Linked DNA regions of Lonchura striata. The protein of the gene in region 1 binds, or shares a complex with, the protein of each later gene. Links are inferred from orthologs where the notes say so. Each region holds a gene or a part of one and is shown in the gene's direction. Other genes may lie near its edges.

Region 1 (12,524 bases):
AGATGCACATTGTAACTGTCTTGCAAATCTCTGCTGTCTGCGACCAGCTTGCCTCCCCTTGCAAGTGTGGAGATGAGTGAAGTGGATGTTCATCTGCGGACCACTTTTTGGAGTGCCTTCCTTCTAGGGTGCCGGAGGTGTCACTGCCTCAGCTGGAGCAGCTGAGCAGGCCCAGCTCACCTGGGAGCAGTAGTGCACTACTGGAAGAGAGGTCTCAGCTCCCAAATGCCATTGTTCGCTATGGATCAGTCTCCGAGCCCCAGGGTGGCGGGCTGGGGGCTCGGCGGGGCCGGTGAGGGCGGCGTGTGCCCGCCTTGCCTCCCCTGTGCGCTGCGGCCTGAACCTGCCCTCAGGTGTGGGGGGCGCGGTCTGAACCTGCCCTCAGGTGCGGGGGCGCGGTCTGAACCTGCCCTCAGGTGCGGGGGCACGGTCTGAACCTGCCCTCAGGTGTGGGGGCGCAGCCGAACCTGCCCTCAGGTGCGGGGGCGCGGTCTGAACCTGCCCTCAGGTGTGGGGGCGCAGCCGAACCTGCCCTCAGGTGCGGGGGCGCGGTCTGAACCTGCCCTCAGGTGTGGGGGCGCGGCCAAACCTGCCCTCAGGTGCGGGGGCGCGGTCTGAACCTGCCCTCAGGTGTGGGGGCGCGGTCCGAACCTGCCCTCAGGTGCGGGGGCGCGGTCTGAACCTGCCCTCAGGTGCGGGGGCGCGGTCTGAACCTGCCCTCAGGTGCGGGGGCGCGGTCTGAACCTGCCCTCAGGTGCGGGGGCGCGGTCTGAACCTGCCCTCAGGTGCGGGGGCGTGGCCCGGGCGGCCCTTCAGAGGGGGCGTGGCCGAGGCTCCCCTCAGGTGTGGGGGCGCGGCCCGGCGCTGCCCTCAGGTGCGCTCCGCCCTCGCCTCCCCTCAGGTGCGCGCGGCCCGAGGCGGCGGTGGCGCCGCTCCCCATGGCGGCCCCGGGCGGGCTGGGCCGCTGCGTGGCCGCCTTCTGGCTGGCGCTGGCCTTCGACGCGGTGGGGCTGGCGGTGCTGCTGGCCGGCGTGTTCGCCGACGTGTTCTTCTCCGACCTGCTCATCTACGCGGGCGGCATCGGCATCTTCCTCAGCCTGGTCTGGTGGGTGTTCTGGTACGCGGGCAACCTGGAGGTGCCGCCCGAGGAGCTGCGGGACGACGTGGGGCTGTCGCCGCCCAAGGGCCGCGGGGACACGCTGCTGCGGCGGCTGGTGAACGGGCTCAGCCTCCGCCTCACGGCCGCGCTCGCCCCCGCCCGCCCCGCCGACCTGGAGCTGCGGCGCGCCCAGGGCCCCCGCGGCCGCCGCGCCGACCCCGGCAGGTGAGAGCCGGACGGGAGCCCGGGGCCGCGCGGCGAGGCCAGCCCGGCTGTCGGCTCTGCCTTCGGCCACAGCCTGCGACAGCTCGCTTGCCCGGCATTCGGTTTAACGCTTGCTGGGTTAAAACACCTACTCGCAGCTGCCACGTCTTAAATAGAAGTAGTGGGGAGTTTTTCTCAGCTCAGGTGGTATAAAAACGAGTGGGAAAGATTGCACAAATGGGATTAGGCGGGGAAGGCGCTTCCTGTAGCCGTCCGAGAACGTAGCAGGTGACCCGGAGTGAAGCCCGGGCAGTGCGGTGGCGTGCGGAGAGCTGCGGCCAGAGAGCAGCACAGGAGCCCTGGCGCTCTGAACTGGTCCTCACAGCAACCAAATCCTGCCAGGAAGGGCCATTAACCACTACCCCGCACGAGCTCTTGGGAGGGGAAACCCCCTCGTTAGCACCGTGAAATAATGCTTTATTGGAGAACAAAAAAGGTGAAATGATGACTTGGATTTAACTTGAGGGCAGAGCTGTAGGTAAGAGGTTGAAACTCAAATGTAGCTATCAGTTAAACTGTTTGTCTTAAACCTCAGACATATAGAAAAGATGTGATGATACCTGATGTGCAAAGGAAGTGTCTCGGTCCTATTTCAAAGCATGGTTGAAGAACATGAAGCTTTTCAAAATATCTTCGTATGTTCATTTATGTGGTGTGTTCACATAGGAAGAAAAGCATGCATAATGCCTTGAAACTGTGTTTGGGGAAAAAAGTCAAGCCTTCACTTCACTATGTAAAATCCTCTATTGTAGGAACTGTAAACACAGTTTTGTACTGTTTGAACTGTTTGAGGATTCTAAACATCTTGCTGTTCTGATTCACTATGTACAAGATCAGCTTTTCCTGCTTCTCCTTGCAATTAAATTCTGAAGACACTGTTGACTTACAGAAAAATTCATGTAGAAATCGTCTTCTTTCATGACAGCTATGAAATTTTTCTTGAGAGAAAGTTTTAACAGCAGGGAGATTGAGTATAGATAATTATTCCTTAATAGAAGACTTGTAGGAGGCAGGAAAGAACAGCAGCAACACAACTTTCAAAGATTGTTACTGCTCTTTAGTTTATTATTAACTACACCTGCAATTAGACTGTTGAAAATGAGCCATTCTATTTTCAGACCTCTTTTTTTCTGAAAGGGGTCTAAAACTGGCAGGTCGATATTTGCAGGAACAATATAAATATAAATGACTACGCAGAACGATTCCATCTAAACATCATGGCAATTGCAGGTATTGAGCTCAGTAGGTAATTTGCTATTTCTGTAGATGCACTGTGTGTACACGGATAGGTATTCTGTTTTAATGAGCTCCTATTAGTGAAAGTTATCCACTATTTTGAAATATTTCAAGTCTTATTTCTGATTGTAATTAGATTTACATGTCCTATACACTCACACACACACACACATCTATATATATACTTAGTACAAGATATCCCAGTAGCTTCTGTTGCTACAGTAAACAACCTTCAGTAATGGTAATTCAGAAAGAACCAAAACCAAAACAGGGGGTGTACAGCAGTTATGTTACATATTGGAACATAAACTCTGGGATTTTACTTGCAAGGTGAAACAAAGAATAACAAATGGTTTCACCTTGAAAGATAATTTGGAGTTCCCTTTCAAAGTAAGTTCACCTAAAGTATCTTAGAACTTCTCATAAACAACTGTCTGAATCAGGTCATTCCTTGCTGATAGACCAAATCCTCTCCCCATCAGGAGATATTTATGAACTTAACCAAACGGGTTAAACATGTTTGGGCAGATATTGCCTGAGAAGGAAAAAAACCAGCACCCCCCACACACACATTCAGAAACAAAACAAAACAAAATCCTAAAAACAAAACAAAACAAAACAAACCCCAAACATCCTCTCTTTATTTTCATTTGGAAAATTTGAGCATTAATTTTTGAAATTATGAAAGGAGCATTCTACATTGTTCTGATTTCCCGTCTTAAACATTATACAGTAGACAAAGGTGAGAATTTTCATTACATGGAATGTTTCTATTAAAGGAATAACAAGTAGATTAGAATCCTCAAGCCTGAAAAGAGATGCAGAATATAAAGTGTTCTAGAAGTCTATGCAGTCACTGTGGGAAAGGTATGAAGTGCTTGTCTCCCAAGGCAAAGCAGGCACAAACTGTCATGTGCTATGTAAGTGAAGTATGTGATTACTTGACATGGGACAGTGGGACAGATAAAAATTTACTGATTCAAAAATTCAAAGGACAAAGCAGAAGATACATGATAATATAAAGATAATATATTTGGCTAAGGAAGACCTGGGGCAGTTGATATCCTGAGGGGATATTACTTGTGTGCCATATTGTTATGCCTTCATTGAGACATCACACTTGGCCACCATTGGAGATGGGCTGGTGACTTAATGGATCTTTTCTTTGGGTTCCAGTTGGCTGTTCAATATGAGGAAAAGTACTTTTAAGACTGACTTTAAGTAACAGTTTAGAGTTATATTTGTTCTAAGCCTATTTTGGAGTAACCATTTCTTCATGTGTTACCTTCAGGATCTGTTGAAGACATGACTAAAGATGTTACGGCCCCAAAAAGTGGGGAAAATGCTGCAAATTATGGAAAGAGATTCCCTACTCAAGACAGTAGGATTCTCTCATTGTGGAATAACCTCTGCAAGCATTGTGGACTCTCCATAAAATGGACACGTGGAGCCATATCTCTGCCAAAAGCACCTATTTCAGTGTTGGACTGGCTATGCTTTGAAATGGTGAAAAAAGATTCCACAAAATCTTTTTGAGAAGTGACAGCTAAAGAGAATTGAACCTGATTCATTGAAATGTCAGTGCAGCTTGTCATATGGTTGGTTTTATTGTGTTGTTTCAATTATTATTATTTTCAATAACCTGAAAGGTTTGTATAAAAAGCTCTTGCACAATGAAAAGCTCTTGCACTGTTTTTTACCAAGGTCTGGAAGTTAAACTTACTGTGAATTTTTATAATGCCAGTGCAATACTTTTGTTTGTAAGGGTGCTTTTAAAATCTCTATATTAAATTGTTGACGCAAAGCTGCAAATGTAGTAGAAGTTGTTTATAGTGTAAATACACAATTTATAGCATCTCTTGTAAAAAGTTTCATTGTTATTCTGAAATAACCTGGAATCTGAGACTTTATAAGTAGACCCCAGTGATGTTGGTATACAAGTACATTCTTTGTAGTAACAAACGATGTAATATGATGACACTTGCAAGAGTAATTTTTAGTCCAGTGATGTTGGAAACTATTTTCCTAATGCTGAAGCATTTGAGAGAGAGAACATGACCAAAAGAAACTCTGTTGATTAACAAGTACCCCAAGGCATTGTAAAGCATTAACAAACAGTACTTGGAAAAAGATTTATATTAATGCTAGTGATACCTAAAACTGTGCTAATGATAAAATTGTGTTGAGAATTTCCTCAGGAGTTCTTCTGGTTTTGAAGTTACACTAAGAGTTTGGTGCCACCATCAGCAAATACTGGTAGGGCTTAAAATTTCAATGCACAATTGTTCTATGCCACACCTCATTGAATACTAAAGGTGGAATTAAGGAAAATATTTGCTAAGAACACTGTGGCTGTACTTCCTTATGAACTCCTGAAATGTCTTTCAGTGTTTTCTTGTAAAATTACTAGAGTAACTTCTTTTCTTTGCATATTCTCATTTTAAAATGCTTTCCAAATGCTCTATCTTTTAACAAATTCAGAAGAACACTAAACTTGAAGATCTGCAATGTGATTTCTCCTTTACTATCTGCAATTTTTAGGAGGTGTATGCAATTTGTTTCCTGCTTTTAATGGAACTGCAATGTGACACCACTCCAGTGTTGCAATGGCCTGATTAAAAAAAACCCAAACAAACCTGTAGATCAGTTTTCATTTGCAATAATTTTTTGTTCGTTTCATTTTTCCTGAACAGAAAGAGATGCTTTTTCTGATTCCCCATTGTTTCACTTATAAAGTGAATTATGAGATACACTGTTTAATAAGTGGAATAAATTAAGCCAAAACTCATATATGTAGCTCACATACTTAGTTTGTGAAAACCAAAATTTTCTATTAAAATTTTTCTATTCAAGTGTTCTACTCTATTAAAGCAATAATAATTGCTAGAGTGAATTGAGCAGGCCTTTGCATTCATTGTATATTACGATGTAATTAATCAAATCCAATATCAGTACTTAATGATTGTTGTATAAGATGGTAGCTAGAGTGCAACTTCACTCAAAAGTTATGTAGAATTCCAACTAGTTTACTAGTATGAATAGTATATATTTTAAAAATGAAATATAGGAACTGACCCATCAGTTAAGGAGGATGTTAAGCACAGAAAAGCACTAAAGCACTAGAAGATGGTGAGACCAAATAATTAGACAAACAGTACTTGCTGTGGAGCAGTGATATGATACCTATTGTAAGCATTGTAACTATTTTCTTTTTGAAAATGCATCCAGTTACTCTTACATGCAATCAGTTTGCCTTCTAAACAGAAACTGGGAATCACCTGCAGTTACACATTAACAAATATTTAACACTATTTTAGTTTCCTTATCAGCTCTGCCAATGCAGCACAAAGTCCATTCAAAGAACTTTTACATTGTTGAGTGGAAGGAAGCTCTTGGACATGTTTAGGACTGCTTGCTGTTGCAGCTAAAAGAATTCCTCTAGCCATTGAAGGAAGTCTTATGTGTGCTGTATAAAATCTTAGGCAAAATCACAAAGAACCAAACTAGTTCCAGAAGGGTGGCTACAGAAGTCTTTTGCTAGTTAAGTCTTAAAACTAGCTCAAAATGTCATCCTACATTCCACTAAAGGAAAAATACCAACCTCCAGCTTCTAACTATGTAGATGGATTAAATGCTTGTTAGACTTTAAACGTGGACTGCATCTAATGGAAGATTTCATGTGGTGTATAGTATCTACTTAAATGGGAATATCTTCATCATCATCAAGATTATATTATTAGTAATGCCTACAAAAATCTGTTTGATGTAACTTGTGAGAGTTGCTGGGAGTGACATAATTATTACAGTACCAGTTTGTGTAGAAAAGAAGCATAAGTGTATACAAAGTTGAGAGGGCTAAGGTCAAATAATGTCACGTGTTGCTGTAGCTAGTTTGTGTGAATGGGTGAAGTAAATTTTACACATTCAGCCAAAGTAAGCTTCCAGCAGATTGGATGTTACTGAAGAACTACACAGGAAATTCAAGTCTCTGTTCATACTTACCCGGGTTGCTGTGGCAGCAGAATTTGTGTGTGTATACAATCTTTCAGGAGCAAAACCAGTTACTAGCTCTGACACAGAAAAGTCCATAACACATTTTGTTTAATGACTGGTGCTTTAACATAGACCCAGCCTACATAGGGAGGATGAAAACATCCAGAAATCTCACTGGAGTTCCTGTGCCTCTATTCTAGCAAATCCATTATTACTTCCCAAGGTCAAACACTGCTTAATTTAGAGCAGATTCTTGGCCCTTTTTAATCTCAATTAAGTTGTTTGTACCATTTAGTTTATCCCTTCGGATTGCAGTTTTTAGTTGATAACCCGGGCTGGCCGTGCCCTTGGTGTCACCCGTGCTGTGAGGGGCTGCCCGCGGCTCCCACTGCTCGCGGCGAGCTGCCCAAGGGGTCGGGGAGCGCTCGCCTGTGAACCATCCCGGGGTGGGCTCGCTCCACCATGGCCCTGGGGATCAATCTGGATTTCTGCTCACGCACCCCGGGACGCTGGGATCGCTACCGGGAGTCAGTGTAAACCCAGAACGGTGACGAGAGTAGAGCTTCCCGCTCCTCTTGCCTGGCTTCACCACGGTGGGCGGGGGCAGCGCCGCGGCTGCTCCTTCCCAGCGCTCCCTTCCCGCTCAGCGCTGCCGCCCGGCGGTGCTGCTCCGAGCCCGCTCGGTGCCGCCGCCCGGCGGTTCCGCTCCGAGCCCGCTCGGTGCCGCTCTGTCCCTCTCTGGTGCCGCTCTGTCCCGCTCGGTGCCGCTCTGTCCCTCTCTGGTGCCGCCCTGTCCCTCTCTGGTGCCGCTCCGAGCCCGCTCGGTGCCGCCGCCCGGCGGTGCCGCTCTGTCCCGGCTCGCTGGTGCCGCTCTGTCCCTCTCTGGTGCCGCTCCGAGCCCGCTCGGTGCCACTCTGTCCCTCTCTGGTGCCGCCCTGTCCCGCTCGGTGCCGCTCCGAGCCCGCTCGCTGCCGCCGCCCGGCGGCGCGGCGCGGCGGTGCGGGGGCGGGCCGCCGGCGCGGTTTCCGCCCGGCCGCGCAGTTTCCGCCGGAGCGGCATGTGGCGGCGCGGGCGGCCGGGGCGCGCCGGGCGCGGGGCGAGGCGCCGCTGGCCCCGGTAGCGCGGGCGCGGCCGCCGCCGCAAGGCAAGGGCGGGCAGCGGGAGGGATCCTGGGAGGGGAACGGCGGCCCCCGCGGCTCTCCCGGCTGAGGAGGGGCCCGAGAGGTGCCCGGGCCTCCGAGCGGTGCTCACGCGGCTTCCCCTCCCCGCAGGCGCCGTGACCATGCTGGGAGCGGACGAGTTCATCAGCTCCCCGCCCAGGAAGACGGTGCGGTTCGGGGGGACCCTGACCGAGATCCTGCTGAAGTACGAAAAGGTGACTGCGGCTTCTCAGGGGCCTGCGCTGCGCACGGACTGCTGGTTTCGGGGGTCATTCCGTGAGAACACTCGTTTCGCCTTATGCAAGACCGTGCCTGAAGCCTTAGGGAAAAAATTGAAGGCGGCTGAGCGTTGTAGGCTTGTGCCAGGCAGAATTGCTGTGCGAGCAAAAAGATTCCCCCGTGAGTCAACCTGCGTGGCTGGGTGAATGTAAAGCCTGGCTTATGCTAAAGTGTGCACAGGGATCCAGCTGTGTTTGCAGGGAGAGCAGCTGAAAATGAGCCAGCAGCCTCGGTTGCCTTCTGGGATGACACCCTGTTACTGCTGCTTTCCTGTTACTGTTCAGCTTTCTTGAGCTGGTTGTCTTGTATTCTTGATGTACCTGTTCAATAGTTGGTTGTTCAGATGCATTGATGAAATTGGTAGTTTTTACTGAAGGAAAAAAAAAAAGTAATTTATTTATTTTTGTTTCCCCTGCTAGGGTGACACTACAGATTTTGAATTGTTAAAACATCAGCTATCAGATCCAGACATAAAGGTAAGACTTTGATAGTCAGGGGTCTGATGATTTAAAGTTTGTCTGTCTGAGTGTAATCACCAGACAAGTCATTCTGGTGACTACACAAAGCCTTTGCTTTAAAGATTTAAATTTGATTAAACAGCATTTTTTTCTTTGCAAAAACCATCAGGATTAAAACTCTAAATGGAAAAAAAATGTCTTTTTTGTACGCATACGTATATGCAGGATCTTTATAAATGATGTCTCATGCTTACTGACCCTGTTCTACCCTTGAGTCTCTGTTCCAGATACCATCTTTTTAGGTCACTGATGGTTGATTATGGAGACTCTTCTGTAGATCAGACATGGTTTCTAATTTTCATAGCCTTAAAGTTGCATCGAATTTTACCTTCTGTTCTCACTAAATCTGATTTAATTAGGCAGTAACACACATATGCATTTAGTAGTTATACCCAGAAGTATTGTTTCACAGCTCTTCTGTATAGCTACGAGCACTAGCCATGTTTGCTGTTTCAAGATTTGAGTGTCCCTTCTGCTTAAACTAGAGCAAAAGAGAAAAGAAAATGATGATGGAATACCATTTCTTTTATGTTCTGTGTGAGGGAGGTTTCATGCCTTGCTTAATCTGACTGAAACCTTCATGTCAGTCTGTTGGTTTAGGAGCTGGCATGAATGTATTCTGCATTCAAGAACTTTCATTGGTGAGGGCACAAACTGAATTTCCTTTCATGTTAGTGTGAAAACAATTTCTATTTACAGCCTTAATCTTTGACTTCTAAGGATTTTGGTATTTTCTGCTAATAGGTAGTATTGTTTATTGAAATAGTTAACCTATTTTTTTCTGCTGATTTAAAGGATGCCCAGATCATTAATTGGCTGCATGAATTTCGAGCTTCTGTTGCATATTTGACCAAAGAGCTTGGACAACTGGTCAACATTTTGCTGGTAAGTATCTGTTTGCTACATGGGAAGACTAAGAGTTTAGTACTCAAAACATCCTTCTTTGACATCTTGATCTTTGCTTACTTTTAGAAGCTACCATGGTTGAGAAGGAGCCGAGAGGTAGTGGAAGAATATCTGGGCTTCCTTGGCAATCTTGTGTCAGCACAAACTGTGCATCTCAGGCCGTGCCTGCGGATGATCGTGTCACAGTTTGTCCCCCGTAGGTTACTTCTCTCTTATCGGTCTTTGTTTGCTCATCAAAATCCCTATATAGATAAGTTCTGTATAAACACAGTCCATAACACAATTAATTATTGGGTTATTGAGTTTTTTCATGTTGACTGTCATACAGATAGTTTTCTGTACCTAGATTTTAGAGGATATATTCTGGGTGCTAATACAGATCTTGTTCTGAAGATGTCTTGGAAATGAATGAACTGTATAATATCTTAACTACTAAAAAACCAAAAGCTGAAGTGAAGATCATGTCAGATGTTCTCAAGAACCTCCTAGTTCTGTAAATAACAGTCTTTAAGAAGGTCTTGCAGCTAATTTTGACGCTCTAGTTGTGCTGGAGACTGTTGTTCAGTGTATTTGCTACTGAATTTCTTACCTATAAGATGTATACAATTGAAAAAAGATGTAATAATCTTTTTTTTTTTTTTTTACTAGCTCGAATAACCATCAGAGAAGATGATGTGGATATTTCAGATTCTGATGATGATGATGAAAGTGAGTATAAAGTATATAGATATACATGCTGCTGTAGTGCCTTTACCGAAACAGTATCCAGTGCATGTTGCTCCTTTTTTACAAAATTAATTGAGCTGAGTTCAAGTAAAACATAAGAAACATCCTTAAATTCCTAAGTCAAAGACTTTCTTGTACTCAAATCAATGGTGTGCTGACCCACTTATTACTTTGAAACTATTCCTGTTGGTGCTGTATCTGTAGGAATAGAATGCATAGGGAAACATTCCTAGACCTAGGTTGTTTCAAAGCCAAAGAAAAGTTAGTTGTTTGCTTTCTATTTTATTTATCTCAGTGTACACCCCCGCAAAAGAGCATTTTGGCAAATGCAGTTTTCTTGGGAATCATTCAATTGTGTAGTTGATATGAACTGTTTTTACTGGTTCCTGATTTACTTTTCTGTAACCAAGTGCATAAGAATTCTTTTTTCTTTCTCTAGACATCTCTGAAAACTTTGATACATGCCACAGAGCATTGCAAACTGTTGCAAGATATGTTCCTTCGTAAGTACAGAATCCCTTGGGTTTGTGTGCCCTTTTCTTGCAGATTTAAAGCTTGTGAACTGATGGGTTTTTTCCTATCTTAATTGGAAGCATAACACTTCATTTCATTACATGAATCTTCCTAGTATTCAATAACTGGTAGACTGCTTTATACAAACATGGAGTTTCTGTCAGGCATCAGCCGCTGAAAATCCTGTTAACAGAAATGGGAGGTAGGAAAAGTGGTGTTGATAGTGGCTTCTGTATTCTGTACTCTATAGTGATATTTGAAGTGGCTTCCAATGAGTGCATTGTGAAAGTTTGCCACTTATTATCTGCCCAGTGATCCTTGCCAAACCACATTTTATACAATTACTTACCTCAAAATAAAGTTCCTGTTAAATAAGCTTATTCCAGTACACCTTTAGAGTGCTGGAGTTCAACATTTGCAAACCTATAACTTTTAGGTCTGATTTTTGGTTTTTAATTAATTGTAGGACACCACAGTTTCTCATGCCGATACTTGTGGAATTCTTTCCTTTCATTAATAAATCAGAAAGAACTCTGGTAAGAGCTGTGACTATTTTTGTTGATCTGTTCACCTGTTTATCTAAATGCATAAATGTTCTGTATAGTATTACAACTGATTCGGTGGCAGTCCATGCAGATTTTTGAAGAATATTGTTGCATATATAATAATTACATATATAATAACCACGTATAGGATTGTGTCTGTTTAGTGTAAGGCTCTCCAAGCATTCTGAGTTTTTTGTGCACAAGCGTTGTGCTCATCTTTAAAGACATCACACATATTTTTCCCACTGGATGTATACCATGTACACCATGGACCTCCTTGATGAGGAGTCTCAGATTGTGTACTAAGGAGACCTGTCTTGTCTGTTATCAAACCTGGAAAGTCTTTGGCAGAAGAACAGGGGATTTGAGAAGCAAACAAGAGACAATGGACATTTCAGGCGAAATCCAAATTGCCAGTAAAGCGCTATTATTTTATTATAGCTTTATCATAGTTTTTGTGTGCTGAAAAACAAGCTGTAAACCTTTGACAGGTTATGGCTGTTGTTTTATCATTCTCTTTGTTTGTTCCAGCTTGATATGTTGGCACTTCGTGTTACAGAAAGGCAAAGCCCTGCTTCTCCACCTAAGTTCAGTCAAAGCTGTGTTTTGAACTCATCAAGTGCTGAAAAATCCCCAAAGTTCTTTATCTATCTTGCAATTTTTAAAAATTGTTGTCTTAATCCAAATAACTTTAAGCACCATCTCCCCATCTGTAAAATGGGGGAATAATAGCTCTTACATGGTGTTAGGAGATTTATTTACTTAGCAGCTCAGTGAGGGACAAGATGTAAAGAAATGTGTAGCTGTTTTCAGGGCAGAGCTCAAATGAAATGTAATACAATGTGGTCCATGCACTGTTTAATATTTACAGTTAATACTTTCTCATTAAACGTTTTCTATCCATTTTGTGTACTGACTAAGCCTGTGAAAAAAATGAACAAGATGGCCTGTGGAAAAATCATATGTGCTCATGTAATTAAAGGTTGTGTTATAATGCTTATTCACAAGTAGACTGTGGTGTACTTAGATGTGGCACACTACCTGATTGTGTGCAGCAACTTGATAGTTTTGCTTTATGAAAGTTGCAACGTTGTCTTTTGTACATGTACACATGGGTGGGCCCATGCATGCTCACAAAACTTGTCTGTTAAGCTGCTTGATTTATAATCAGAATTACTGAAGAGCCATAGCTGTTCAATTTAGATTTGCTGCTGGTATATTTTAATAATCTGAAATAAAGATACATTTGGTCTAATTTGGTTCTAGCTACAGTGAAGCATATGCT
Region 2 (12,239 bases), on another chromosome or scaffold:
AATAGCACCCTCTACTATGTTTTATAGCCTACCCTTTAAAAAATAGTTCATGAATTGCAGGGGGTCCTATAAATTTAATTGCTTTTTTTTTAGTATTGTAGTTAGAACAGAAAATTTATCTTTCTAAACTCTGCTCTTAAATGCCATGAACCTGCATACGTATTTACAATAAAAACTATCATAAAAGCTGTGTATTGTGGGTGGGGAATAGAAATTGAGAAACAATATTCCATTCTTTATTTTAAGGGTGTATTAAATACTATTCTTGGTTTAATTTTCTTCACAGAAAATTCACTTTGCCAGGACCATGTCTAGTTTAGAACAGCATTTATCAAACATCCTTTGTAACCTTGAACATGCATGTTGGTTTTGAAGAGTACAGCACCCTGGCTAGGGTGATCCTACCGGTTCTTCTGGATTCTCCTGAATGCTGCTATGTTCCCTTCTTGACAGAGACAACTTGAAAAGTGCAGACTTGAGACCACAGCTTGGGAACATTCTGAAAATAGGGGATTGCATTCTACTTATTTCTATTTCTTCTAGATTTGGCTCCCCTTCACATCTAATTATTGTAATGTGGAATCATCTCTCATAGTTTTTTTGAACAAATATTGAAAACCTGCTATCCATGTACCATAACCTCTTGGAAGCATGATGGAATGAAGTATGACAGGAAGAGTTGCAGACTTTTTTTGAGATTTTCATAGTTTTGAAATCAGAAGGTGTTGACTCCTTGTCATAGCCTTGTGGTATCTTTTTCTGAATTTTCTCCTACTACCACGTGTCATTTTATAAGTGGTTACATTTAAATTACTGGGGGAAAAATTAATCCAATCTGAAGCAACCATTAATGATACCCATAGATAGCTCCTGTTTACCAAAGCATTTGAACAAAGGGGAAAACTGAACTCTATTAAGCATAAAGGATATGCTGGGTTTATCTGTTAAGACTTGGTCTAAAAAGAATGACCTTTCAGGTTGCTTTCACATTCTACTTGCTTTGTACCATGCTTTGGGATATTAGTGACTGTTTGGCTAACAAAGATTTTGAAAGTAGTATCTGTTCTGAAATTTAACTTAACTTCAAGCTCTGCTAATGTGTAACTAATTTTAAAAATTTCCAAAACTTAAAATTCACTCAGCAGAAAATAGGCAAAACACGTATCACAGTTGTATCATGATTCAATAACTAGACTGATTATCAGTGGACTATGAATCATTTGCCTCAGGACTGGCTTCTCTAGCACCTGGAGGATTATCTGACCATCACAGCCCTGTTTTGTTTCGGTTTGGGGGGGGGGGGGGGGGTTTAGTGTTTTTTGTTTGTTTGTTTGTTTGTTTGGGTTGGTTTTTGGTTTTTGTTTTGGTTCTGTTTTGTTTTGAGTTTCTTCAGATACTTAAGGTCTACTACTCAGAGAGATTTTTATAAACTTGTCCTTACATAAAATACATTTTTAAGGTATCATCTAATGTGCTGAGGATAAAGTTGCTGCTGCATTAAGGTCTTGGAAAAGACCAAGAAGATTTGAAAAAAGCAAATACCTTTTTGTTTGGCAAGATCACGTGCTGGTATCCACATTTCAGTACTGACAAGCAGCTCAGAGTCCATCATGAGGAGTGATGGGAAAGAAATGGTAAATGAAACATTTCATAGTCCATGCTGCAGCCTCAGAGACTGAGAAAAAAAGACTGCTCTTGACTTCTGTGAAGAAGTAAGTCTCACATAAGTTATCCCATTTTTGCTATTTCTCTGGTTATGGAGTATTTGAGCTCTGGCAATCCTAATTCTCCATGTTTATAAATGACTGCAGAAGAAAATAAACCTGTAACAGAAATCTACACATGATGATTCCAAAACTTACCAGCATTTTTGAGGGTTTAATTAATTATATGGTGAAAAATGCCCTCTGAGCAACACCCCCACACACCAAAGCTGCGTAGGTCATAGTGAGTACCTTACTTTGCTTCCTCAATTCTGCTGCTTTCTGCATTTTTCTGACAGTTTTACATTCCTACCTGCCACTGCCCACAAATACATTTCTTTGCCATCCAGTGTTAGTCAGCAGAGGAGTTCTGTGATGCACTGTGCACTAAATATGCACAGACATGTGCATGGTGCATGCTTTCCAGACTGACAATCTTCGATCACACTGGATCTGAATTTCTAGCTGTGAGTAGCTGTTCCCAGACGTATTTTTTGGAACCCCTTTGTGAATCCCAGCTCCACAAGGTGGCTCTCGATTCCTTTAAAAATACTACTGCTTTTGTGGATTAAATGTATCTCAGAATGATCTTGAGAACAATCATCATGGCACGATGGATGCACAATGCTACAACGGAAGCCAAGATCCCCTTTAGTATGTAGCATATTTTTCTTTCAGTAAAACTGAAAACTAGACAAAGCCTGACATTACTGAAGTATTACAATTTGAAGGAAGATTTCATGTCAATTGCTCAATAAAATCTGAAAAACAAGAAAATAAAGGCATTATAGATGCCTTTATGAAATGGGATATTCAAATGCTCACTGCCTGCTCTGTTCCTTTGTGGCTTCTCTCTTACAAGTGCCCATCCCTACTCCATACCTCTGTCACCAGGTATTGAGGGGTGCAATCTCTGAGAGCATGGGCAGCCCGAGGGCAGTGTGGTGCTCCTCAGGAAAGACATCTTGCCTTTGAAGGCCAAGACACACTACGAGGTGTTCACTTGACTCCAGCCGGGACTTCAGCATCCCCAGAAGACCTCTCAAATCCCTCTGTGGCTGGCCTTGTGCTAGCATGGCCTCCCAGAGTTTTGCCTGCTCAAGCAGCTCATCTGAATGTGAGGTCCTGCCCTGAGGTGTGTGTCCCCAGAACCCCTGGCTGGGTGACCACAAAGCTGATCACCAGCTCTGCGGGCAGGGAGAGCCCCAGCTGAACCCGGGGTGGGACCACAGAGTAACTCTGCGAGGTGGGCTGGGCTGCAGCATGTGTGCAAAGCAAAGGCTGATGGTGCGAACCCCAGAATTAGTGCCTAAGACTGGCTCAGTTTGCCCTCCCTCTTGGGTATAATATTGCTGCTTTTGGTAATCAGAAATTAAAATTCCTGTTGCTTACATCTTAGGAAAATGCTAAGAAAACCTGAGTAAACTTTGGGAAAAAATATTATTTGCTTTCTGGTGATTTGTATGTTTTAGGTCATATTTTCAGGTTTTCCACAACAGGGATTGAAATTTATTTAACTAGTAAAATTTGAAAGCTGAATCTGTATAACAAACCCTATAGCAAGGCAATGCTGGGTGTGTCTGAACTGTAACGTTAAATTCATTCTTGTCGCTTCCTTCAAAGCTGAGCTGAGCTCAGCCCCTCCCTGGTTATCCCTCCCTGCCGAGCTTGCTGTAACCCCCACGCCTTGCTGCTGTTCCCACCTTTGTCCTTGCACAACTTGCTGCACCTTTGCCTCCACTGCTGGCCCAGCTTCTCCCCCTGACCCCTTCCACAGCGTGGTCTCTAAAGATCAGTTACAGTGAAGCCACTTGCTTCTTGTTCTCCTAATTTCTCTTTTGTTTTCTGTCTGCCTTTAAACATGCGTTCTTCCATGGAGAGATGGTGCAGACATGAAATTTTGCATGTTAATAACTGTGTGCATTTTCTATAAATTTGAATCTGGTCGATCTGCCCTGTGTTCATGTGCACAATCTTTGGGGCAGCTGAGGTTGCTGTTCTGCTCTAACTCTTTGTAGTAGGTGTCTGACAATGGGTAAAGACTCTGGGGAGAATCTCTGCTACAGAAGTTTGTATCCTGGAGCCAGCACAATTTCATGAACAGTAGCCCAAAGGACAGGCCAAGGGACATGTCTTTCAGTCCAATATGTATTTTTTACATTTTCACATGCAGAAAGTCTGCAGTCAAGAACCAGAAATGTGGTATCAGCAATGGAACTCAGTTCATTAAAAATTCAAATCAATGGAAACAACAGGACGTGTTATTTATCTAAGCCTTGAATCAATCTGACTACTATGCATAATGATCTTAATTAGAAAAGTGAGCCGAAGCAGGAAGACAGTCTGTCTCCTGGCTTTGAAATTATCATACCCCTATCAGTATGCTTGGGTAACTTGTAATTAGGGACAAAGGTTACACATAATTTTATATGCTGAAAAACCGGTTTTATACATGTAATTTCAAAAAATATTTAAGAAATAGTTATAAGACTTGGTAACCCTGTTAGACTTTAATTTTTTTTTTTCCTGCCAGATTAGTAGTCTGCACTAATTAATTGATGGACTTCAGAAATAGCTACAGAAACTTTGCATTTATAGGGACCCTGGACACTTATAAGTAACTAGTAATATTAATATCAGTCTTTGTAGAAGTTCCTTTCCAAAATTTGGTACCTTTTCACATCTGTTTCACCTGCGTGGAAAATGCAGCTCAGAGAAACAGTGTGGGCTGTCCAGCAACAGAGAGTAAGGGCTTCCCTGTTCAAAAATTTTACTGGCATGTTGCACCAGTATGGCCACAATTATACCTACACAGCTCCTTGTGCTGTCCCCCACATCTTTCTTCTTTCTTGCTTATCTTCAACTACTGTCATTAAATACGAAATTATCAGGTTTTGACAAAATGGCAGTCCTGTGATTACTCTTCCTTTAATATTTTATGGACAAGCTGTAATTAGAAAACAGAAGACCTAACTCTGAGGTCCTACCTCATCAAAGCACTCAGTTCCACACTTAATTTAAACAAATTCTTCAATTTAGTTAAGTCCACTGGGCAGGCCCACTGCCCGCTCACAGCGTTGAGTCACACACGAGCACTGCTCTCAGCAGGAGCAATGCCTTATCTTCTGCACTGGAACACACCTCTTCCTCTCTTATCACAGCTACAGATGTGATTTTTTTTCAAGGTAGTATTTAATCTTAGAAATACATTAGAAAAAGATCAAACCCTCTCTGTCACACAAGATGGCCTTGCTTTCCCACAACAGTATTTCCACAAACAAAAAAAATATGGAAATTAAAAACACAAGTAGGATCTGTTTCATCAAAGTATTAGCTACATTTCTGTGAGGCTGACAATCACCTTTTTAACATGGCAGGAATTACATGTGTAATGGGTGTTACAAATGTTCAACCCACACTGAAAAAAGATCACAGTTGGTATGAGTAATAACTTTTTTCTTAAACATAAACAGTTTCCCTCTAGCTCTCTACATCAATGTAACCACAGCTGTCAAGGCAGCCTCACCTCTTTCTATGTATATTTTAACTTTAATTTTTTCCCATGCCTTCACTTAGTGGACTTTTTTTTTTTTTATTAAAGGGCTTAAACCTGTTCTCCAATTTTGTGGGCAAATTCCCTGCAATAACAGATCTTGGTGTTTAGACATCTTTAAACATTATTATTAGCATGCAAGAAATTAGAGACCTACATCAAGATCTGGAGGTTTGGGTGTTGTTTTTTAATTGAAAGTGGATTTCAGATTGTAGTTTCCCTCATTCAAGGATCTCCGCTTTTACATAGTTAAATGAGCTTTTGTGGCCTTCTTTACAAGCAGCAGCAGCCCCCTTCCCAGAGCTTTGGTGCAGCCTTGGTGGTCACCAGCTGGGGCCACCGAGGTGGTGCAAGGGTGAGGATGCAGGAGCTCTGTGGAGAGGATGGCGATGGGCTGAGGCTCAGAGGACACACACAGTCTTAGTCTTAAGCTGCACATGCAGTCAGTCCAAAGATGTTCCAGGGGAGGTTTAGGTTGGACATTAGGAAGGACTTATTCACAGAAGTGGTGATTAGGCTTTGGAACGGGCTGCCCGGGGATGTGGCAGTGTCACCATCCCTGGAGGTCTCTAAGGAAGGAGTGGACATGGCACTGAGTCCCATGGTCTAGTTGACATGGTGGTGGACTCGATGATCACAGGAACTCAACTGATTCTGTGATGGAACGGACCCTTCAGTCCCTGGGACACCCCACATCTCCTTGAAGCTGCTACGTCTCCTCCATGGCTGAAGTCACAGAACTATAGACTATGAAGAGGTGGGAAGGGATGCACCGAGCCCCAGTCCCCCCTGCCATGGGCAGAGACACCCCTCACCAGACCAGGCTGCCCAGGGCTCCCTCTGATGCCTTAAGTTTTAGCTTTCGTATTTTCCAGATTCTGTACTGCATTAGTGTGTAACTCTGAGCTTCATATAAAGAGTTAGCAAGCTCTCCTCACAGCTTAGTCAGACAAAACAATCCTTTTCCAGCACAAGAACCAAGGACATCATTGCAGCTTTGGGCCCAAAAAGTCTGAAGAGCAGTGAATTGAGGAGAGCAAACTGGGAGGATGGGACTTCATAACCTGAAGCTGTAACTGGACAATTAACCCCAATATGTAAATGGACTAAAACTTATAAAAGTGTAAAAACTTATAAAAGTGTAAAAACGACTTGGAGTCCATCTTGGGTCCATTTTGGGGAGAGCTACGGCCAGGCTCTTGTACTGCCCAGGCCGTATCCTTTTAAATAAATCCCTACTTTCTTCCTTTAACACAGTCTAGCCTCTGTTCAGGGAGCCCCTCACGGCATCAATCCAACCCGGCCTTCCAAAGATGCGGCGCCTCCACCCTCGCTGGGCAGCCTGCCGCAGTGTCTCACCGCCTCCCAGGAAAGCCTTTTTCCTTTCTCCCTTCTCCCTTCTCCCTCCCGCTGGTGCCAGCCCCGGGATCTGTCCCCTCAGCGCGGCCCTTGCCCCGCCCGTGCCCCCGGCGCCGCGCAGTGCCCGCGGCGGCCCGGAACGCGAGCGCCGGGGCCGCGGTTTCCCGGCGGGCCGCGGCGCCGCGGCGCGGTTGCCATGGTGCTGCCGGGGCGCGGCCGCCATGGACGAGGAGGACACGGTGGGGCCTGCGGGGTTCGCCGGGCCGGGGCCGCTTCCCCCCGGGCGGGCAGCGGCTGCGGGCGGCGGGGGAGAGCGAGAGGCGCCGGCGGGCGCTGCCTGCCCCGGCCCGGTGCTGCCCTGCCCACAGCGGGGCCCGGAGCGCGGGCGAGGCCCTGCCCGGCCCCTCGGCGCTGCCCGGCGCTCGGTCCGGCCCGGGATGTGCCGCCGGCCGCCCCTCAGCCGGGCCCGGCAGCGCTGCCCCTGCCCAGCACGCACGTGGGCGTTTCTGGAAACCACTTGGTTTTGCTCCGTCGGTTTCCCTCTTCTCTCTCCCTCTCCGGTTTCTCCGGGAACCGGCGGCTCGTGCGGGCTTTCTCTCACCGCGTGTGTTTCTTTGCAGTTCCAGAAATTTGTTTTTCTTTTCGCCTCCCCCTCCAGTTTGTATCTCCTTCTCAATTTCTGATGGGTGGCTTTATTTAAAGCCCCGCCACGTGTGTGCGAGGCGTGGATCGCCATTCCTGCTGTTCTGACGCTCTCACACACGGGAACTGGCCCTTTGCAGCTGCAATTACGTGTTCAGGGTTACCTGCGGCTGATGGCAAGTGCGATGATCACTTGTTACCAGCCAGAGCTAACACGAGGGGTGTAAATCCTCTCCTCTGCAAATAATCTCAGAAGCTGTGCAGTAGCCTAGCAATAATGGCATTTGTATTGAGCAATTGTGAAAGTCTTCTGGCTTTTCTTTCTTTCAGAGAGATTTTAATGAGCGCTGTGCTCAGTGTTCAGAAGTGAACTGGGGTCTCACTGATGGAGGCAGATTTTATTGTAGATCTTGCCACAACGTTACTGAGGTAAAAAGATGAGTTACTGCCTTGGAAAATGTTTATTTTGATTGCTTCTTGACTTTATGTAAGAAAATTACAGATTTTTCTTCTCAGCATTGAGGGCAGTATTTTTATTCTTACTTTTTCATGCTTTAGTTGACACTGTTTAAAACTAATGTTCCTTGAAATCACAACATTTCGAATGAGCCATCTTGGCCTGCTGTGTTGCTGTAGCTGTGGTGTCAATGTGCTCTCTAGATGCCTCAGAAGCATTGTCTGAGTGTTGCTGCCTTTATGCAGTCCAAATCCAGGCAAACTGTGATGCATGTCACCTATGTGTCCATGATAGTAATTATCTGTTTTTGAAATTGCTGAATGAAAAGTTCAGACTGTCTTGTGTCCTGATAGTTTAGGAAATTTCGGTGAATTCCTCCATTATGTTTTATGATGGGGCAATCTGTGCAAGTTAGACCTGGCTCTTTTTCTTGCTAAGATGTATTCCTGTTTTGCAGAGAACTAGAGAAGTTGTAAACACTGATTTTATTACTAATTCAAGAGTCCAATCAATCTCCAAAGGTTTAAAAAAGCAGGAAAAAACTGGTATGTATGAGTTTCTGTTCGTATTTTGCAAAAGGGTGGCTGTTCAGCCACTGCTCTCCTAGGCCATTAGGTCTTTGGTAGAGAACAAAAACGGATAGGCAGGAAAGACTGTAGGAGTGGGAACAAAATGCACCTCCCTTATGCTGTTACAACCTTCAGAGATCACACTTGGTGACTTCCTGAGCCACAGGTGACCTCTGGTGAGCCCAGTGGTGGGGATTTTTTATTGAAAAGGTGAGTGTGCTACTGCTGCTTTGACTTCTGGAAGCAAATACTCATTCAGGCTACTGGAGGCATGCATTCAGATGTGGTAATCCTTTGTTCCTTCCCTGTGATGGCTATCACAAAACCAGAGAGGTTGTTTGTCTTGGCAAGTGAGATGTGATGGTGGTCCAGTTCTTGGTGTCAGTCTGGCCTGGGTTACAGGCACTTGGCCCTGCAGCTTACACACAAACTGCGCAGAAGAGGTTTCATGCAGTTCCAGTAGCTGAACCAGAGCTGCATCTTTCATCCAGAGTCACTTTTTTACTTTTAACTTAATGACTATTCAGAAGAATAGTGGTCATTACATAGGAAGATCTGGGGCATAAAGATGTAGTGGTAAAGCTACTGCTAGAGCTGTGTGTGTATGCTGTGTTGGCTGGATACATCTCTTACTGTTGTGGCCACCTTCAGAAAACAGAACTGCATTAAAATGCCAAATAAAGCAAGGGGTTATCTTTCTCTCTGATACGCTCAAATACCATTGGTCTGTTGCAGAGGCAGTAGACTGCTACATTCCTTTGAAAAGAGCAATTATGTGGAAGTGAAGGGAGGTGTGAAAGGACCCCTCCACTTTTCCTTATACTGTATTTATTCTGAAGTCTGGACCAGTCATGCTTTTAATTTATCCTGTTGAGAAGGTCATTAGCCAACCCCAGACTTCTTAAGAAAGAAATCCTTAACTTCACAATGCAGTCATGTTACACTGAATTCCATGAAAGTATAGGAGTAAGCTGTGTCTGTTAGTTCACTGTTAGCAGTTAAGAGCAGCATCATTATAGCAGGGCAGAAGCTTTGGGCAGATAATGTCCAAGATGGTGAGATGCAAGGTGTATTTCGGAACAAGAGTAGTGAAGAACAGGTGTGGAAGGACTGAAAATGGAGTTGAGAAATGCAGAGAAAATTTCTAAAACCAAAAGCCTGTATAAAAGGTTAGTAGTGAATTTAGAGAGGTAAGGGTGAAAAGTAATTGTAATGCAGCCTGAAGAAATAGTGAGCAGATTAGAGCAGGCCCACTCCCTGTGAAATTTATGTTGTGCTATGATTTGTTAGAAGTTGGGATATTCTTTCATTTAAACATTTGTGATTCTGTGTGAGAGAATGGTAAAGCACCAAAGTGGTATTGATTGTTTTTTGCCTGACTCACTCCTGTAATGTTTCAGTTTTCTATGTCAGGGGTGGGAAAGGAATGTTCATATTTCATTTTTAAATGCAGGTTCTCAGTTATTTTTAAACTGGTAATTTAACAGTGCTCTGCTCAATTACAAATGCCACACTAGACATTGTAATGAATTATATTATTCTTGGGAAATGTGTGAAGTTCTTGTTCAGTAACTTTTCTTCTCGTTTAAGGCTGTGAATAAATGGAAGTTAATGGAGTGTTCAGTGCAGGTGGTTTATGCACTAGGGTCTGAAATTATTAGAGATATGGGGATAAGTGTGCATAAAGTTAAAGAAATCCAAAATAGTACAAACAAACATAGTTTGTTTCCTTTGTTTTTCCCCTTAGATGGAGGCTGTGAATGGTATATTTGTGAAGGCTTTCAGCTTGTACTCAAGAAACAGGTGGAAGCTCTAGAAGCATTAGGAGTATGTCCACAAATGAAGGTACGTAGATGTCAGTCTGAGTTCTATACTCTGTGTGTGTGTGTTACAGAAAGTGGGATTTAAAAGATTTTAATTTTTAAAGTGAATAACATAAATCCCTGTTTAAAATCATTGAGCATATGAAATAAAAATTTGTTTCTCTGGTAGTTTTTAAACATATTTTATAAATCACAGTTAATAAAATTAGAGGTGGAATGTTATTCATATTCCTGAGTTAGAAATTACGCTCCGTTCTCTCAGCAATTAATGATCTTGTAAACATTGTACCATTTGCCATCCATTTTTGTTTATCAGGATGAAATTCTGTGCAATTTTTGGAGGTGTTACCTTCAGAAGAGCAAACAGGCATATTGCAAGAGACCAGCTGGGGAAACCATCAAAGTATTATCAGTAAGTGAAAGGTCAAATCCCATGAGATGTTTGGTATCTTTTTAAAAGCAGCAACAGAAATCTTCTTTGTTTAGGTGACATATCTTGCTGCCAACAATGTCACTTCAGTATGAAGGAGGTCATTTAAACAGGCTTGCACATGTCCAATTTATTGGGTTTTGGAGTTTTTTCAAGTCTGTTTCAACAGATAAATATTTCTGTGACTATTTGAAACTGCTTATTTAAAAGTTTTGCCTTGTCTTGACATAGAAAATCAGTAAATACAAATGGCAATGCAAGATGTATCATCAGCTACCATCCTTTTCTGCTTGCTCTCTTGAAGTTACTAGTTTGATCAAGCTTTGATTCTGTGTGCTGCCAACTTTCTGGTCATTGTAGCAGATTAAAGTGTAGTCACTAGAACTTTTTGGTATTGAGAAATCCTTGAAAAAATACTTCCTTGCCTTTTTTTTTTTCCAGTTACTGGTGGTTCATGGAGTAAAAATATTAACAGTTCGAGTTTTAACTTTTACTGTTAATTTTGCATTGCATCTGTCATGGTTTATGTGGTTTGTTAAGATCGAAACCGTAACTAAGAGCAGCTAACACAAATGTTTCTTTACAAACCCCAGGGATGTGAGAGCAGTACTGATGTGGACAGTGATCCAGAGAGACCCAGCTTTCTGCACTTGCTGTCTCTCTCTGACAGTGAGGGGGATCTGCAGACTGACTGCAGCTTTGCCTCATCAGTGAGCAAGGTCTCAGGTAGGAGCAGTGAGCAGAACTATCTGAAAATCAGTTTTTCTGTAGTTTTTAAATATAAATAGATTTAAAGTGTATTTTTGTACAGTGAATTGGAGGAACTGGTTGGAAGTTGTAATATTTTCAGTCTTGTTTGACACTGTACTACTTTATATTCTACCAGAAATAGACTTCCTCCTTCAACTCCTACCCAAGGAGATAAAAGTTGAACAGGACCTGGAAATGCAGTGGGAAATGTAGGAGGAAGTTCTGGTTTATAGCGAGTTTGCTCCATGCCTCCTGTTTAGAGTGGGAAAAAAATTGCTGTTATATCTGCCAAGCTAGATGTTCACAAACACAGCAGCTTTGAAGAATAAGCACACATTTAACCAACAGCAGAGCTGTCTGTCATGACTTTGATGTTAAAAAACATGAGTCTGTTCTTTAAGGGCATGTATTTTTTTTCTATCCCATAGATATGTTTAGCTTTTTAATTTTTTCTTTACATTATATTGGTATTTTTCTATCTTTTGTCTCCACAGTCTTTTTACTGCTTTCCCAATGGCCCCTTATAGGAAAAATCATATTTTAGCATTCCTTCAGTTTCTCTTCTTGCAATAGCAGCATGAAAATAGCTACAGAATGCTGAACTTCTTAATTAAAATGTTGTAGAGAATTGGAGTGTTAGGTTCTGCTGGGCAAGTGTAATACTAGACAATACTGCAAGGCCTGATACTGGAAATGCATTGCAAGGCACATTTGAAAGCTTTTGCTTGTGTTTTAAACTTATGATGGTTTTCTTTCTTGCTTTATTCTTTGCTTGCTTTTTCCTTCTTAATCTATCTTTGTGTTTCTTATTCCCCTGTTATGTGCTATCCTCCTTATGGCATGTTTCTGTTCTGTGATATTCCCTCTCTACCCTCAGAAGAACACAATCTTGTTTTTTCAAGCTTTTATCTTTACTTTGTAAAGTCCACAAGTGATAATAGAGTGAGAAATTT

What was found.
Region 2: RRN3 (region 1) and TAF1B share a complex: the UniProt entries of both Homo sapiens proteins name them as parts of the pol I pre-initiation complex. The link is inferred for Lonchura striata from reciprocal best matches to the Homo sapiens genes RRN3 and TAF1B.

Annotation. Positions count from the first base shown.
Region 1 is NC_134618.1:8,935,800-8,948,323, forward strand, and holds the start of RRN3 (RNA polymerase I-specific transcription initiation factor RRN3), read left to right. Parts: upstream 1-7,659; 5' UTR 7,660-7,736; intron 7,737-7,863; 5' UTR 7,864-7,874; coding exon 7,875-7,967; intron 7,968-8,450; coding exon 8,451-8,507; intron 8,508-9,344; coding exon 9,345-9,434; intron 9,435-9,521; coding exon 9,522-9,651; intron 9,652-10,103; coding exon 10,104-10,163; intron 10,164-10,620; coding exon 10,621-10,684; intron 10,685-11,160; coding exon 11,161-11,230; intron 11,231-12,524. Other genes in the region: transmembrane protein 238, read left to right, coding at 939-1,324, 3,891-3,900. UniProt on the Homo sapiens protein: Required for efficient transcription initiation by RNA polymerase I (Pol I). Required for the formation of the competent pre-initiation complex (PIC).
Region 2 is NC_134605.1:98,933,675-98,945,913, forward strand, and holds the start of TAF1B (TATA box-binding protein-associated factor RNA polymerase I subunit B), read left to right. Parts: upstream 1-6,769; 5' UTR 6,770-6,836; coding exon 6,837-6,854; intron 6,855-7,587; coding exon 7,588-7,686; intron 7,687-8,171; coding exon 8,172-8,259; intron 8,260-10,030; coding exon 10,031-10,128; intron 10,129-10,422; coding exon 10,423-10,518; intron 10,519-11,129; coding exon 11,130-11,262; intron 11,263-12,239. UniProt on the Homo sapiens protein: Component of RNA polymerase I core factor complex that acts as a GTF2B/TFIIB-like factor and plays a key role in multiple steps during transcription initiation such as pre-initiation complex (PIC) assembly and postpolymerase recruitment events in polymerase I (Pol I) transcription.